Linked DNA regions of Tamandua tetradactyla. The protein of the gene in region 2 binds, or shares a complex with, the protein of the main gene of each other region. Links are inferred from orthologs where the notes say so. Each region holds a gene or a part of one and is shown on either strand. Other genes may lie near its edges.

Region 1 (7,463 bases), on a different chromosome or scaffold from region 2:
CTTCTGGGTCATTAGCACCTGCCCTGCTCCCAGACCTCCCCTCACACTCAACTTGGGGTCAGGTCCAACCCAGATGGAAACAGGCCTGCCCGAGGCCCTGCCGTGCCTTCGCTCCAGGCTGAAGGTGCAGGACTCCCAGGTTTCCCCACTGTGGGTGGCCTTTCCTGTTCCCCATCCCAGCCCCGTGAGCCCCCATCCCAGCCCCGTGAGCCCCATGCTGCCGGGCTGGGGGCAGGAGGTGCCATCAGGAGCCCAGGTCCAGCAGGAGGTCAGGGTTGGTGGTGGTCAGGAAGAGGCAGATGCGGCGGGAAAGGTCGGGTCCCAGCCTGCGAGGTCGCAGGCCCTCTGGCGCTGTCACGGGGAGGTCAGCCAGCAGGGCCAGCTGTTCCTGCTCGGTGCTGCAGGCCACGTAAGCCTAGGACAGGCAGGGAGGTGGGCAGGAAGCCTGGCCCAACCCCATCCCCAGGTCTGGCTGGGGGAGTTTACCTGCTGAAGGAGGCGGGGGGAGGGGAAGGCAGCCACAACAGCCTCGGCCGCGGCTGGGCCCACTCGGTTAAACTGGCTGATCTGCCTGTGCCAGGCCCTCCGCAGCCCCGTGCCATCTCGTGCCACGCGCTCCCCCCCTGCCCAGCGTCCGGCTGTGCAGAAGGAGAACGCCTGGGCCTCCCGGTATCGCCTAGAGACGGGCGGAGCACAGGGTCCTTCCAGAAGGTCCATGCTGCTCTGCTGCCCCTCCCCTCCAGCCTCCATGAAGTCTCAAAGAGGTAGGGACACCCACCCCCTGCCAGCCCCTCCCAGCCAGGCCCTGGGTGAGGGAGGCGCGTACTTGTAGGGGCGCTGGGCCAAGGCTCTGGTGAAGGCGCACACGTGCTCACTCAGCTCCTGCCAGGATGCCACCAGCAGTACGTCCAGCTCCGCCCAGAGCTGTAGGAGCACCAGGGCCTGAGGAGCAGGGAGCCGCAGGGTGGGTCGGAAGGCTCTCTGGGAGACACACTGCAGCCAGCCCGCGCCAGGCTCCAGCCCAGTCTCACCTCCTCCACCTGGGGCCAGCCGACGGCCCCCTCGGCACCAGTCACTGCTGGGCTCCCCTGCTGGATCCCCTGGCCACTGGGCTGGTGAGACCTGAGCAGAGGTGGATTCTGGCCCCACCCTCCTTGGGTTCTCCGGCTTCCCCCAAAGCCTACCCAGTGGAGTCCCAGAAATACCACCCCACCTTCCCTGGCTCCCAAGGTCCCTCCCAGAGGAAATGAGGGTGAGCGGTACCACAGGTAGGCATCCAGCCCGATGACGGCCAGGTGGGGGCGGGCGGGGCTTTCGGGACAAATCCAGGGCACCGAGCAAGCTGGGTCAGACCCCTGTAAGCCAAGGCTGTGTCCACACCCAGCGCGCCAGGCTGGTGTGGGCCTCCATGGTGTCAGGGTGGCTAAGAAGGCCTGTGGGCACGCTTCCTCCTTCGTGGGCCACCCCTGCGCCCCCCAAGCCAAGGTCTGGCGAGGCTACAACAGGTGCTTGAGAAATGCTGGGTCCTGGATGCTGGGACTGGGCAGAAGGTCTAACTGGGTAGCGCTCTGGCACAAGAATCACACGTGTTTTCCACTCCAGGCAAAGGGAGTTGCACAGCCAGTCCCAGACCCTTCCCTCTTGCCCGCACACAGCCTCTGCCTCCCACCTTCCATATTGCCTGGTCCCCTAGAAACAGCTGTGGCTCCCACCTGTTCATCTCACCTGCTGTCTCTGTGGTTTCAGAACAGAGCAGCAGCTGGGGCTGCCCAATGCACTCAGGCAAATACCCTCCCCCAGGAGCAACGACTGAGCCCATGAACTGAGAAGGACCCAGCCTGTCCCCCAGCCCCCCCAGCACCTGGGTCAGCTGGGCAACACCCTGCAGAAACTCCCCTGGTTCCAGCAGCAGCAGCACTTCCTGCTCGTTCTCAGACCACACCTCCGGGGGCACCTGCTAGGACATCCAGAGGCATGACTGCCCACCCTCAGCCTGCAGATTCAGGCCCTGCCAGGACCGCTCCACACCAGCACCACATCCTGGCTCCTGCCAGGGCCAAGACCAGCCGTGCTCCGTGGGGCCAGCGGGAACACCGACCACACGCTGTCACGGGCATGGGGGGTCCTCAGCAGCTGGGACCAGGCTCTGGAGGCAAAGGCCCTAGCCCTGCGCCCCTGCCCTGCTTCCTCCTGCCACCCAGATGATGTTTCCAGTTCTCAGAGCACCTCTCTAAGGGCAGGCACCTTTCGGGACGGCTGGCAGTATGTGACATCATGCCCATAAGACATGGGATGCAGTGGGGTGCTGGGCAAACCCAGGAAGCAGGAGCCCTGCTGCTGCAGGTCACTCACGCTGAGGGGGCAGGGGTCGGGCCTCACTCTGCTCCACCTGAGACTGTGGGCCTGAGGCTGGGGCTCGATGAGGTACTCGCAGCCCAGGGCGGCCAGGGCCTCCTTCAGGATGTCCGCCCCAGCGTCTTCCAGGATGGCTGGACCAGCCCCGAAGGAGAGAGACTGTCACCCCCTCCTTCACCGCCACTGGGGGAGGGGGGGCCGGCAGACCCGCAGCCTGGCTGTGCAACGCAACCTCCCGGACATGCTTCTGACGCACACGCTGATTCCCGACCGGCTCTTGAGTGCAGACGGGGTCCAGACCCGGCAATCCGCATTTCTCACGAGGTGCCAGCCGGGAAGCAGGCAGCCGAGGCCCCGGGAACCCGCCCCTAATGGGCCGAGCTCAGCCCCAACGCCCGCGGTCCAAGCAGGGTGCAGGCAGGGCCCCGCACCTGGGTCCACGCGCACCGCCAGGCGCCGCAGGGCTCGCTCGGGCCGAAGCAGCCGCAGTGCCTCGACCGCCGCCCTGCGCTCCTCCGCCGGCTCCCGGGCCCTCGCGGGAACCTCCGCGGGGACGGGGCCCTCGGCGTCCGAGTCCGAGATCTCCCAGGTCGGGGGCCGTCGGTGGCCCCGGCGCGAGCCCGCAGCGCTCCCTGTCCCAGCCCTCGCCATGGCCGGCCCGCTTCCGGCCACGCCCGGACGCCTTTGCCGGGGGCAACGGCCGCTTCCGGCGGCGGGCGGGCCTCGGGGCGCGCGTCGGAGGCTGTTTCCGCCCGGAGCGCTGAGAGCGCGGACCGCCTCCGTGGGCCGGCGATGGCGCGGAAGAAGGTGAGGCCGCGGCTGATCGCGGAGCTGGCCCGGCGCGTGCGGGCCGTGCGCGAGCGGCGGGAGCGGCCGCGGGACTCGCAGCGCTACGCCCTGGACTACGAGACGCTGACGCGGCCGCACACGGGCCGCCAACTGCCCCAGCGGGCCTGGACCGACGCGCGCCGCGAGAGCCGCCTCCTGCAGCTGCTCAGCCGCCTGCCGCTCTTCGGCCTGGGCCGCCTGGTCACGCGCAAGTCCTGGCTGTGGCAGCACGACGAGCCGTGCTACTGGCGCCTCACGCGGGTCCGGCCCGACTATACGGCGCAGGTGCGTGTGCGCCCACCCGGGAGCCTGCCCGGGGCGCCCGTGCGCGTCGGGCCTCCCCTCGCGACCACCAAGGCCGCGATTGCCTTCCAGGTCCAGGCCACTGTTGGGACAGGGTCTCTGGCTCCTAAGCCCAGCGGTGAGGAGTTTGCTGAACTGGCACCCTCTCCATTTACTTTGCAGAACTTGGACCACGGGAAGGCCTGGGGTATCCTGACTTTCAAAGGTATGGCTTCGGGGACTGGGCAGGGAGGTTGCGTAGTAAGAGTGTGATAAGGCCAGTCACTGTCTCCCCAGGCAAGACGGAGAGCGAGGCCCGAGAGATCGAACAGGTCATGTACCACGACTGGCGGCTGGTGCCCAAGCACGAGGAGGAGGCTTTTGTTGCTTTCTCACCTGCGCCGGAGGAACCCCTGCGTCCTGTGCCCTACCCCCCACTCCTCAGGGCCATGATCCTCGCTGAACGACAGAAGAGGGGAGACGCCAGCACTGAAGAGCCCATGCTGAGTCTGGAGAGGACACGCATCGCCCCCTGGGACTACCCTGCAAAGCTGGAGGCCGAGAAGAAGGCCAAGGGCACTCCAGTCTAAGGCGGTGGAACCGGGCAGGCTGCCCGAGGGCTGCAAGGGGATGCAGACCCTTTGGCGAAAGAAATGGTCTTTGGCAGAGCTGGGATCGTACTTTCCAGTCGTGCCCTGTCTTACCCGAGACTGTGCAATCTAGCTGAGAGTGTCGCCCAAATCCTGCCTCTGGGTTCTCCCCCGCTCAGTTTTTAGAGCCAGAAGTGTGAGAGCCGCAGGAAGAAGCAGTTGGGGGAAAGTTGGAAGTAAGGGAGGCTAGGAGGCATGGAGGCCATGGGTTCCCTTATCCCGGAATCTCCAGCTCTCATCACTTCTGTGCTGGGTTCAGGCCCTTATAACGTGTTCTCTGCTTGGTTTAAGGGTGAAGCCCTGAGAGAGAATAAAGGTAAATGAAGGAGTCTGGGAAGTGGTTTCTTTGGGTTTGGGTTGTGGTGAGCTATGGCTGGTGGTCAGGACTGAAGGAAGACAGAAAGTTCTCATGACAGCTGTGCAGCTGGCCTGGGTCGTGGAGGGCTCTGGCCCAGTGTCCAGCGGGCCGGCGGTTTGGCGGGCAGGAGAGTTCGGCTCGCAGCCTCGGAAGGAGCTGCGACGCAGGGCAGAGGGGTCGAGGGTGCAGCCTGGGGCTTCGGGGCCGCGGGGTCGCGGCCCCTTTAAGCGCAGGCCCCGCCCCGCGCCTCCCCGCCGCGCTCGGGCCGCCGCCGCCATCATGATCTGTCTGATGCTGACCCTGTTCGCCCACCTCTTTCCCGCGGGTGAGCGCCAGGGGCGCGGGCGGGGTGGGTCCCAGGCGGGAAAACGGGCCGCGCCTTACACCGCACCCCCGCAGCCTGCCCAGGCGCGCACGAGCGCACCTTCCTGGCCGTGAAGCCGGACGGCGTGCAGCGGCGGCTGGTGGGCGAGATCGTGCGGCGCTTCGAGAGGAAGGGCTTCAAGCTGGTGGCGCTGAAGCTGCTGCAGGTGGGCGCGGGGCGGGGGCGGCGCGGGGGCCGCGGGGTGGGGGCGCGGGGGGGCGCGAGACCTGCACCCTCTGCCCGCAGGCCTCCGAGGAGCTGCTGCGGGAGCACTACGCCGAGCTGCGCGAGCGACCCTTCTACGGCCGCCTGGTCCGCTACATGGGCTCCGGCCCCGTGGTGGCCATGGTGAGCGCGGGCGGGCCCCGGGTCGCCCCTCGTCCTCCATCTCCCCGGCCCTACCTCCTGTCTCCCCGCGCGGGTTGTCTCCGGCCCGCGCTGACCCTACACCCCCGGGACCCCCGCCTGCACAGGTGTGGCAGGGGCTGGACGTGGTGCGCGCCTCTCGGGCGCTCATCGGGGCCACTGACCCGGCCGCTGCCCTGCCCGGCACCATCCGCGGGGATTTCTGCATCGAGATCGGCAAGTAAGGCCTGCAGGGTGGGCCTCGGCCTCTTCACCACCCCTTTATAGCCCCAGGTGGCATCCCTGACTGATCCGCCTCAGACTGGGCTCACACCGGGCCTCTTCCCGGCAGGAATGTGATCCACGGCAGCGACTCTGTGGACAGCGCCCGCCGTGAGATCGCACTCTGGTTCCATGCAGATGAGCTCCTGTGCTGGGAGGACAGCACCGAGCACTGGCTGCACGAGTAGCCACCTCTGGCACAGATGGGCATGGCTGAGAAAGGCTGGGGATGTCTGGCATGCGAGTGGGGATGCCGGGTCACAGCTGTCCACCTGCAGCAGGCCACTCCCGCACAGAGATCCTGTAACCCCAGGGCCTCCTGGGGGTCTGTCTGGAAGATCCTGACCGAGGTGGGCTTTGGAGTCCCAGATGAGCTCTTAGGAGGAGGTGGAGGACCCCAGCAGGGGTTCACAGCACACTTGGAATGCATACAAGCCACAGCCAGCCCTCTGGGAATACCATTTCCTTTTCTATAATAAAATGAAAGCCCTTGTGTTTGCCATGTTGGTTTCGTCACATAGAAAGGCAGAGGTAGGGCGCTAGGACGTTTATTACATACAGAACGGGTACGTGGGTTCACTTACAGGGCCAAAGCCTGAGGGCAGTTGTAACGTGGCCACTGCTCCCAGAGGCACCCACCCGGCTAACCCCCGAGTCCCTTCACACACCATGGGGACAGACAAGGGACTGTACATACATCACAGTGGAGAGGTGGGGCAGAGGAGACAAGCCTGCAGCGTTTGGTGCTGCAGTGGCGCCAGGCCGAATGATGGCAGCCCGAGATCTGTGCTTCTCTGGTGGGCTTGGGTGGGCAGCGGGGCTGGGCTGCCCAGATTCAGGGCCTCATGGAGCAAAAACAAGGCAGGGGTAGGAACGGGAGGGGAAGCGGGCAAGGCCATTCCCTCAGTGAGGGCCGACCAGGGTGGTGAGACTGCAGGCAGGTGGCAGGAGCCCACCTGGGAGCTGAGCCCCCTCCCATGCACACGCGTGGAGTCCCTCAGGCCTGTGCGCAGCAGCCTCTTTCAGCTGCCCCCAGGAGAGCAGGCCGCCTCGGCCAACCCTAGGCACTTAGTCATGTGTCTGGAGCTAGGACTCCTCGGGGCGCTGGGCACGTGAAGACCCCCACCAGCCTGAGCCTGAGGAGAGGCCCCTTCTTCCTGAGCCTGGGCCTGCCCTGGCGGCCTGAGAAACCCCACCCTGGGGGCTGTGAGGAGGGGCAGGGCTCCAGAGCCAGCTCCCTCGAGGCCCTGCTCTGAGGACGGTGGGAGTAGGGGAATTGGGTTGGTGAGGGCAGAGTGGAGCCTACGTCTTGGAAGGGGACCTGGCCTGTCCTCTTGTGCACTGCCACAAGGAGCCCGGCCAGATGCTGTCATGCCAAATCCCCAGACACCAGGGCTGAGGGAACAGAAGTTTGGGGAGGGGGCCAACCCCAGGAGGACTAGCAGGGTCCAGGCACTGGGGTGCAGGCACCAGGGGCATCCACAACCCTAGCTCCCTGGGAAAAAGCCAGACCCTCAGCCCTGCCCTCTCAGGAAGAGGGAAAGCCTAGGAGACAGGCTTGGACCCCCTTTCCCCGAGGGGTGACAAGTGTCCAAAGACAAGTGGGCTCAGGGTGGGAAGACTCTCCAGTGCCCTGGGGAATTCCTGGGGCTGAAGGGAGTGGGAAGCCCTAGGAGTGCTGCCTGCTCTGGCCCTGAGATGCCCCTGGGACTTGGCTTGGGCTGGCTGTCGGCCAGGAATTGCTGGGGAAAGAGTGTCCCAAGAGGTTCCGGCGCCTGCAGGTGCAAGTGCCAGCCCTGCTCCCACTCCTCCTGGGCCCTTGGGGGGGAAGCTGCGAGTTGAGTTGAGAGGTTGGCGGGGGGTGGGCATGGTGCTGCCTGCAGGGAGGGCTGCCCAGGTGGACGGGTGAGCAGCTCACTCAGGGATGTAGGAGACCTGCCACACGATGACGTGACTGCGCTCTGCCTTGGAGAGCGCGGGCTTCACCTGGCTCACGTCT
Region 2 (7,118 bases):
CAGGGCAGGCGGCACTCCCCCCTTGGCATTCTGCTGATACCTCCACCCTGTTCCCGCACCACACTCACCCCGTGGTCTCGCCGACATCCACACACAATAGCAGGCTGTACTCTCCAGGCCCCAGCTCCAGCAGTGGCTGCTGGACCCCCGCTTCGCCGGCACCACTGCAGGGAGGGGCGGTTAGTGCGTGGGGAGACAGGAATCCCCAGGGTCAAGGCAGACCAACTCTTCCCACCATGGGTACAGGCAGGGAGCAGCCGGGCTCAGCTGCAGGTGATGGACGTAGGGGTATGGTGTTGGCCTCATTTCAGAGAGCCCTCCTGCTCCACTGGGCTCTGCCCCCATAGCTTCCCCTCCCACTCACAGCTCAGCTGAAGCTGTTCCTGGCACTTCTGCCTCCTCCCCAGGGGGCTCTTCTGGCCTGATACCCACATTCAGTGAGCTCAGTCCCTCCAACTCAGCCAGCTTCTGGGCCAGCTCCAGGCCCTCCGGGGTCAGTGAGTACCTGGAAGACCCAATTGATGAACACAGATCTCCTTTTTTCACCGAAGCCTGGCAGGCTTTCCCGCTTGCCCCCAGTGAGGCTGCCTGCCCTGCCCCCTTGGCGACCCTGCACAATAAGTCTCCTGGGTTCCCCTCCCCAGGCTGTCCTTGCCCTGCACGATCAGACTGGCTTCCTCTGGACCTCCCCAGCACCACTTCTCAGATCTCAGGTGGTAAGCATGCCTCAAACTTTCCTTTTTTCCCAGCTTTGCTCATGCTGTTCTCTCCTCCTGAAATGTCTTTCCTGCATCTCTTTGCATTGGATTCTAAGACATGTCAGATACTGCCTCCTCAGCAAAGCCTTTCTGCTTCTCCAGTAACCCCTGGCAATCTTCTTCCACTCATTGCCTCCATCTCTCAGACCCTCCTGGTACCCTTGCCCCAGTCTCCATAGTGCCTAGCATGAAGCCTGGGCATTGCTGGATGAATGCAGCACCCCACGAAGATGTCATGCCCCCTCTCTGCTTCCTGTGTCTCCCCGAGTTGGTTCCACCTGGCTGGCTGGTGTGTCCTGAGGATGAGGTTCCTGTGAAGGAGGGAACGGAGGGCTGGCCAGGGTCGAGCACTCTCAGGGGCTACCTGTTGATGGGGAGGCAGGGTAGGTTGAGGCTCTCAGGGATTCACTGGAGCTGAGTGTCCACATTATCCCTGCTCCCAGCCATGGGTCCGACCCCACATATTGCTCACTCCTGATGGATAGTCTCTGGTGGGCTCAGGGTTAGAAGTAAAGTTGCTCAGCCCCATCCTCCTTCTACCCCAGTGCTCACCTTAGGAGCCTTCTGAGAACACCTCTGCAGCAGCTGCTCCTTGGTTAGGAAGCCAGGGCTGCCAGGTGTCTGAAACCAAGGTCAAAATGATAGGGTAGGCTCAGCCCCCTTTGCTCTGCTCCCACTGCCTCTGTTCTCCCAACTCCTGGGCAGGCCAGACACTCACCAGGTGCTCCTCATAAAGCAGCAGCAGCACCACTCGTGGCCCTGAGTGCCGAGCTGGCCAGTAGCCACCAGAGCCTCCTGCCTTGGGCTTGGCTGGAACCTGCCAGGTACAGAGGGCTCTGAACAGTGGCTCTGTGGGGACGCCTGGCAGGGCCAGAGGACTTGAGGTTTAGGTCGACCAAGTCACTCAGCTGCCTCTCAGTTTTATTTGCAAAACTAGTCAGATGACTGGATGATTCCCTGCAAAGCTGGGCTGGGACAGGGAATGGTTGTGGGGGACTGGAACTGCCTGATCCAGCCTCAGTTCTCCAGAACCGCTGCCCACGGTACAATCTCAGTAAAGGGCAACTCAGTAATGGCAACCTCAACGATGTACCGGGCTGGGCCCCCTATGAAGCTTGCTCATAGAACTTTCTGAAAGATTCCTGCCAATATCCCTGCCTACAGATGAGAAAACAAGTCTCAGAGAGGATATCACTTGCCGGAGGCCAGGCATCACTGATGGGGAGATTTGTCTCCAGGCCTGCTAAATGTCAAATATTCCTCAAAATCATCCATATCACCAGATAAACCTTATTTCTGGTGATCCCATCTTTCCTTCTGCTCCCCGGCCCCCTCCTCACCGACACAGAAGGATCCTGGGCTTCTGCAGGTGGCCCATCCTGGGCAGGGCTCTTTCTTCCAGGTGGTGAGCCCGGTTCATGGGCACCTGCGGAGCCAGACGAGAGTCATTCCTGGCATTCCCACAGGAATCCGGCAGCTGGGGAGGAGGCTGGGAGGGACTCTGCCACTGGCCAGAGATCAAGTAGCAACTGGGACAGGTGTGCGAGAGCTTGAAGCCCAGGTATCCGAGGTGGGCACAGAGGCTGCACCTGGGTGGGCGGCTGGAGACGACCACCCCCGGCCCCTGCGCTCACCGCCGGATGCTCGGTGCTGCTGCAGCCGCTCGTCAAGCATCCGGCACAGCCGGTCTCCGAAGTGCTGTAGGATCTTAGCTTCCTTCCCGCTGCGCAGGGGCAGTGGGTATCGCCGGAGGGAGCGCAGCGCCTGGCGGGGAGAAGTGGTGCGGTACCGGGTCAGGGCAGGCCTCCGCGTCCAGCCCGGCCAGCGTTGGTCCCCTTCGGGCCCGGCCGGGACCCACCTTCTGAAATACAAAGTGAGTGCGGCGCCCCCTGCTGGCGGCCTCGTCCCGCCACTCGGTCAGCCAGCGGACGAAGAGCGGGTTGGGACAAACCGGCAGTGGGCGCTTCCGGCCCAGGCGGACGCGCGCCGCCATGGGCGCCGCGGCAGGCCTCAAGCTCGCGGGACTGCGACGCCGCCCGCTCGGGAGAGAGATTCGAACACCTGGCTCCGAGGGGAGGCGGGCCTCTCCGATCACGTGGTCCCGCCCGCGAGACACTAACTCCGGGCTAGCCTCCCTTCCCCCTCCCCGCCCCTACACTTCTCTAAGTGGCTCCCGGCGCCATCTCCGCGGCTCAGCGCTCCGCTCGCTCCCACCGCCCAACTCGGCCTCGGCCCGCGCCCCACCCGGGCCCCGCGAGCCTCAGCCACGCCCCTCCGCCCACTTCCGCGTCCAGAGCCCGGGCGATTAGGGAAGATCCTCCGCGGGCGGGCGAAAGCAAGGCGGACAGCGCCCCCTGCGGCTGGCAGTGCGCGTTGCGGGCGCGCTTAACCGAGCTTTTCCGCCTCATCCTTGCAGAGCCTGGGCAGCCCGACTGGGCTTACGAGGAGTCCCGGAGAGGGATGGTGGGTGGGAGATGGGTGCACGTGTATTTGCGGGAGGAATATCTACGTGAGGATACAGGGGAGGGCACAGAGGGAAGGCAGGAGTTGCTGAAGGACCACCGGAGGAAATGGCGGTCAGGAGTTAGGGGTCGCAGGGCAGAGTGGGGACCGTGAAATCGGGGACTTGAAAAGAGGGCCGAAGCCAGACGGGCGGGATAAGGCCGAGGGCAGGTAGAAGGGGACTACAGGTAGGAGGTGCTGGTAGGTGGGGAGCCTGAGATGGGGTGCGCATGATTGGATCCGGGGTAGCAGGCTGCGGGTAAGAAGCCGAGACAGAGGGAGAAGGGGAGAACACTTTGGACGTTTTTGTGGCACATTGGAGGTGGGGCACCCCCAGGGGGTTTGAAGAACCGTGTAAAGGGGTTCAAGGTTGAGGGGCTGGGCTTAAGGGTCTCACTAGGGAGTTGGAGCAGACCCAGGCCTCGGGCTGATATGCCGGAAGTCGCTAGATGCAGATCTCCAGGCCCGCCCCTCGAGACCTCACCCAGTCCGCGACCCTGGTACCCCGAAACCGCTAGGGACGCCCGCCTCCCGCCAGAAGCGGCCTTATAAGGAGCCTGGAGCCGGCGTTCGGGCTGGTCCCACCCCCTCCAGTCTCCTGTCCTAATAAGGACATCTAGGGCATCCCGCGGCTGGGGGGTGGGCGGGAGCACGTCTCCAGGGTAACTACCAAGCCCGCCCCACTCCCCTCGCTGCGCTTGAAAACTGCGAAGCGCGAAAAAGGTGGGATCAACTTACCAGTCTGGCACGCGCCCTTGTGAAAGATGGGGTTCGAGCTGCGGCCTCCCCCTGGGGCTCCCGGGAGCTCGAGGGTGGGGGTGGGGGTGGGGGAGGTACAGCAGCAGATCCCGGACTACAAATCCCGGCATGTTCTGCGAGGTACCCCCACTCCCGGGCTTCGCGAAGACCCGGCTGCCTGCTCTCCGTTAACACCCGTTATTCGGCTTATGAGATCCACGCCCCCGGTCCCATTGCTGGGTTTGTCTCTGACTTGTTTGCAATCTTGCCTTTTCTTGCAGGGTGTGAGGTCATGGTCATTGTCCCGGTCAGCGAAGTCTTCCCGGAGCCCTTCACCCCAAACGGTTTATTTCGTTAGTTTCAGTTTTTGCGGGTATTAGTTTAATCATCTAACTGGCTATCAACTCGAGAACAGCAACTTGAACAGGAGTGGGGAGCTTGAAGTCAAGGTATCCGAGGTGGGCACGGAGATTCGAGTCAGGTTTAATATGTTTCCTTTCCTCTGTGTCTAGTAAAAGGCACGTAGAGAATCCTTGAATTGAATGCACAAATCCTTGCCCTCCCTTTTCATTGCCCCATGGATGAATGTCTGCCAAACATCTTTAAACAAGGACAAAGTCCTCCTTTCAAAGTTTTCCCTGTAGCCTGCCTGTCCCTTGTGTTTCTTTTCTCCTTTTTTTTTTTTTTTTAAAGTTGCGTATGGCCTTTTCTCGGGGGACAAGAGTGGCTGTGCACACGGAGGGTGCTGAGTGAATGCTGGATTGAAGGCCCTTGTACTTGTCATTTTCCTTGCTTTAGAACTGGATTCCAGTTCATGGATAATTGCTTCCATTCCGAAAAGCAAAATCCTAACCCCACTCAAACTGGCCAGACTGAGAGATCCAGAAAGTGCCAACATGGGTCTGAGGAAAATCGTTTGGCTTCGGGATAAAGAGCCGCCAAGTCGGGGCTCCTTTCCCTGTCAACCTTTACTTGCGGCGGCACAGATTGCTCAGGTCAGCGCGTTTCCTAGGAAACCACCAATGGGCGCGTTCTCCGTTCCCACTGCCCGCCTCCCGACCCCCTCCCCGCAACCTTGGACTACACTTTCCGGCATGCAGTGCGGGGCCGGAGGCCGGCTGTCGAGAAAGACCCCGCTACCAGCCGAGCCGGAGGACGGCGCAGGACCCTCGGACTTCATTTCCCGTCCGCCCGCGGGGAGGGGCGCCGGAAGCCCGCCCCGCCCCTCATTGTGCGGCTCATACTAAACGGAAGGGGTCGGGAGAGGCCGCGTTCAGTCGGATCTCGGCGGCAGCTGCAGCGGTTCTCATCTTCTCCGGTTCTCCTTGCTGTGTCCCTTTAGCATCCAGAAACATGGTGAGCGGCAGGCCTCAGCGCCCGAGGGGAGGCGGCTGCGGGCCGGTCGTCTGTGCGCACGGCAGGGGACGGGGAGCGACGTCGGCACCCCTCAGCCGGCGCCGCGGGCGGGACGAGGGTCTCGCGCTGAGGGGCGGGCGGCTCGGGGTGCGCGTGCGCGCCCGCGGGCGCCGAGGAGGGCCGGCTCGGACGTCGCTCGCGCGCCCCCTGGCCTCCCCTCCCCTCCCCCATCCCGCTGATGCGCCCGCGCGGACATCAGTCGTGGGGGGAGGGGTCCGGGTCGCGCGCGCGCCTGCCCCTCGCGATGCAGCCGGCGCGCGGCGGCGCGGACCGAAGCGAGTCGGTTCCCGTGGGGCGCGCGCTCGACCGGGGCATGCGGCGTTCAGAGCCCGGGGGCGGCGAGGGGAAGGCGCGCGAGCGTTTTGGGCACGTGCGCCCCACCCAAGGGCTGTTCGTGCCTCCGCGCCATCCTCCCTCGGCCGGCTAACGGGCCTGTCTGGAGAGCAGGTGGCAGGGATGCCCGGGAAGGGCGGGGGCGGCGCGGCTAAAGCGGGGATGCTGGGGCGGCGGAGAGCGGGTGGGAACCTGGTCGGGCTGGATTTGGGGCCTCCCCTCCAACGCCCGCGCACGGGAGCGAGCGAACCCGCAAAGCGATCCGGGTCCTCTGCTGGGTATACCCGGCACGGGCTGGAACGGCGCTGGCGGCCGGCGCGTGCGCACACGCTCGGGCCCGGCCGCGGGGGCCGAGGCCCTGGACAAGCGGGGCCATCGGCCTACCCAGATGGCCTGAGGGTGGAGCCGAGCCGAGGGAAATGACCCAGGCGGTTACCGCTTGAGAACACCCCGCCCACTGTGCTCGACCTGAGCTGTCCAACTTTCGTGCCGCAGGGGATAGGGTTTGAAATGCCCGTCGGGAAAAGCGGTGCTAAGGGTTAAGGGCCCGGAGGTGCTGCTGCCTCGGGCAAGGGTTTCTCTCTTGGGGAGGGCCAGGCCTAACCTATCTTCTCCCACTCCGGAAGCGGCTGCGTCACGTGGCCGGCTTCCTCTGCAGTTCCAGAGAGGGGAGTACAGATTTCACCGCGGACAGTCCCTGTCTTTCCTTACTGGGGCTTCCCCTAGGAGGACGTAGGGTAGAAGTTTAAAAAACTCTCTAGCACTCTGGGCTCTAGAGTTTGGGTTGTTAGCTTCTACCGATGATCTCTGAGGCCTTGCATCATCCCCCGGGGACAGAATTGTCCTGCAGAGCCCTCATTGGAAGATGTCATTCTTGTTTTAGTTGGGGGACAACTAAAACAATAATTTAGTGAATAATTTAGGTAATAACTGTATTGAGCAGTTGTGATGAACTGTTGGACACCGTGGTGTCCCGTCTAGCGTTTGGGGTTCTGGCTACCTGTTCCCTGAAGAGAAGACCCATGGCCTAGGTGTTTGGGTCCTCTTACCATCTCTGAGATATTCCAGGTCAGCACTTTTCTCACAAGCCAAGATTGAGTATTCTGAGTAGGAAACGCATTGGTAGCCTGTGGATTCGTTTTCATGCTGGGTTGGCATCTCAGCTGAGGTCCTGCTTGTCCCGCGTCATCAGTTTCCCTGCCTGTGAAACGCAGGGGGGTGTAGAACTATGTGATCCGAGGTCTTCTCCATGGCTGCCGTCCTGTGGTTGTCTCCCATGTCCCATCCAGTCCTTTGGCAGTGGCTTGTGTGGGGAAAATAATGACATTTGCCTTGGAGTGTGGGGTCATGGACTATACTGTGGCATCCAGA

Evidence for each region. Proteins that work in one complex are often made in the same cells at the same time.
Region 1: the proteins of MUS81 (region 2) and EME2 are in contact, whole or in part, in a crystal structure (PDB 7F6L), measured with the Homo sapiens proteins. The link is inferred for Tamandua tetradactyla from reciprocal best matches to the Homo sapiens genes MUS81 and EME2. Residues at the interface, in NP_079404.3 of Homo sapiens: His330, Glu351, Phe354, Lys357, Arg358, Arg363, Val365, Glu381, Leu385, Gln386, Thr389, Asn390, Gln392, Val393, Ile394, Phe398, Lys400, Arg401, Tyr411, Leu414, Leu415, Arg417, Gly418, Leu419, Arg421, Leu422, Pro447, Ile464, Lys467, Ala468; in NP_001244299.1 of Homo sapiens: Glu140, Arg177, His179, Glu220, Glu221, Val224, Leu225, Gln227, Leu228, Trp229, Asn231, Leu232, Asp233, Leu235, Arg245, His246, Ala249, Val250, Lys252, Ala253, Leu254, Gln256, Tyr257, Lys260, Gln261, Glu264, Gln266, Phe268, Phe270, Cys271.

The regions. Positions count from the first base shown.
Region 1 is NC_135349.1:55,714,260-55,721,722, forward strand, and holds the start of EME2 (structure-specific endonuclease subunit EME2), read right to left. Parts: upstream 3,007-7,463; coding exon 2,787-3,006; intron 2,490-2,786; coding exon 2,353-2,489; intron 1,955-2,352; coding exon 1,862-1,954; intron 1,356-1,861; coding exon 1,264-1,355; intron 1,123-1,263; coding exon 1,032-1,122; intron 943-1,031; coding exon 827-942; intron 677-826; coding exon 487-676; intron 416-486; coding exon 245-415; 3' UTR 1-244. Other genes in the region: MRPS34 (small ribosomal subunit protein mS34), read left to right, coding at 3,148-3,468, 3,649-3,691, 3,763-4,055; NME3 (nucleoside diphosphate kinase 3), read left to right, coding at 4,753-4,798, 4,873-5,003, 5,084-5,185, 5,311-5,423, 5,535-5,652; MAPK8IP3 (C-Jun-amino-terminal kinase-interacting protein 3), read right to left, coding at 7,379-7,463. UniProt on the Homo sapiens protein: Non-catalytic subunit of the structure-specific, heterodimeric DNA endonuclease MUS81-EME2 which is involved in the maintenance of genome stability. In the complex, EME2 is required for DNA cleavage, participating in DNA recognition and bending.
Region 2 is NC_135335.1:8,665,141-8,672,258, forward strand, and holds the start of MUS81 (structure-specific endonuclease subunit MUS81), read right to left. Parts: upstream 3,017-7,118; 5' UTR 2,752-3,016; coding exon 2,617-2,751; intron 2,523-2,616; coding exon 2,393-2,522; intron 2,185-2,392; coding exon 2,099-2,184; intron 1,576-2,098; coding exon 1,477-1,575; intron 1,380-1,476; coding exon 1,311-1,379; intron 1,123-1,310; coding exon 1,037-1,122; intron 506-1,036; coding exon 365-505; intron 165-364; coding exon 69-164; intron 1-68. Other genes in the region: CFL1 (cofilin-1), read left to right, coding at 5,352-5,354. UniProt on the Homo sapiens protein: Catalytic subunit of two functionally distinct, structure-specific, heterodimeric DNA endonucleases MUS81-EME1 and MUS81-EME2 that are involved in the maintenance of genome stability.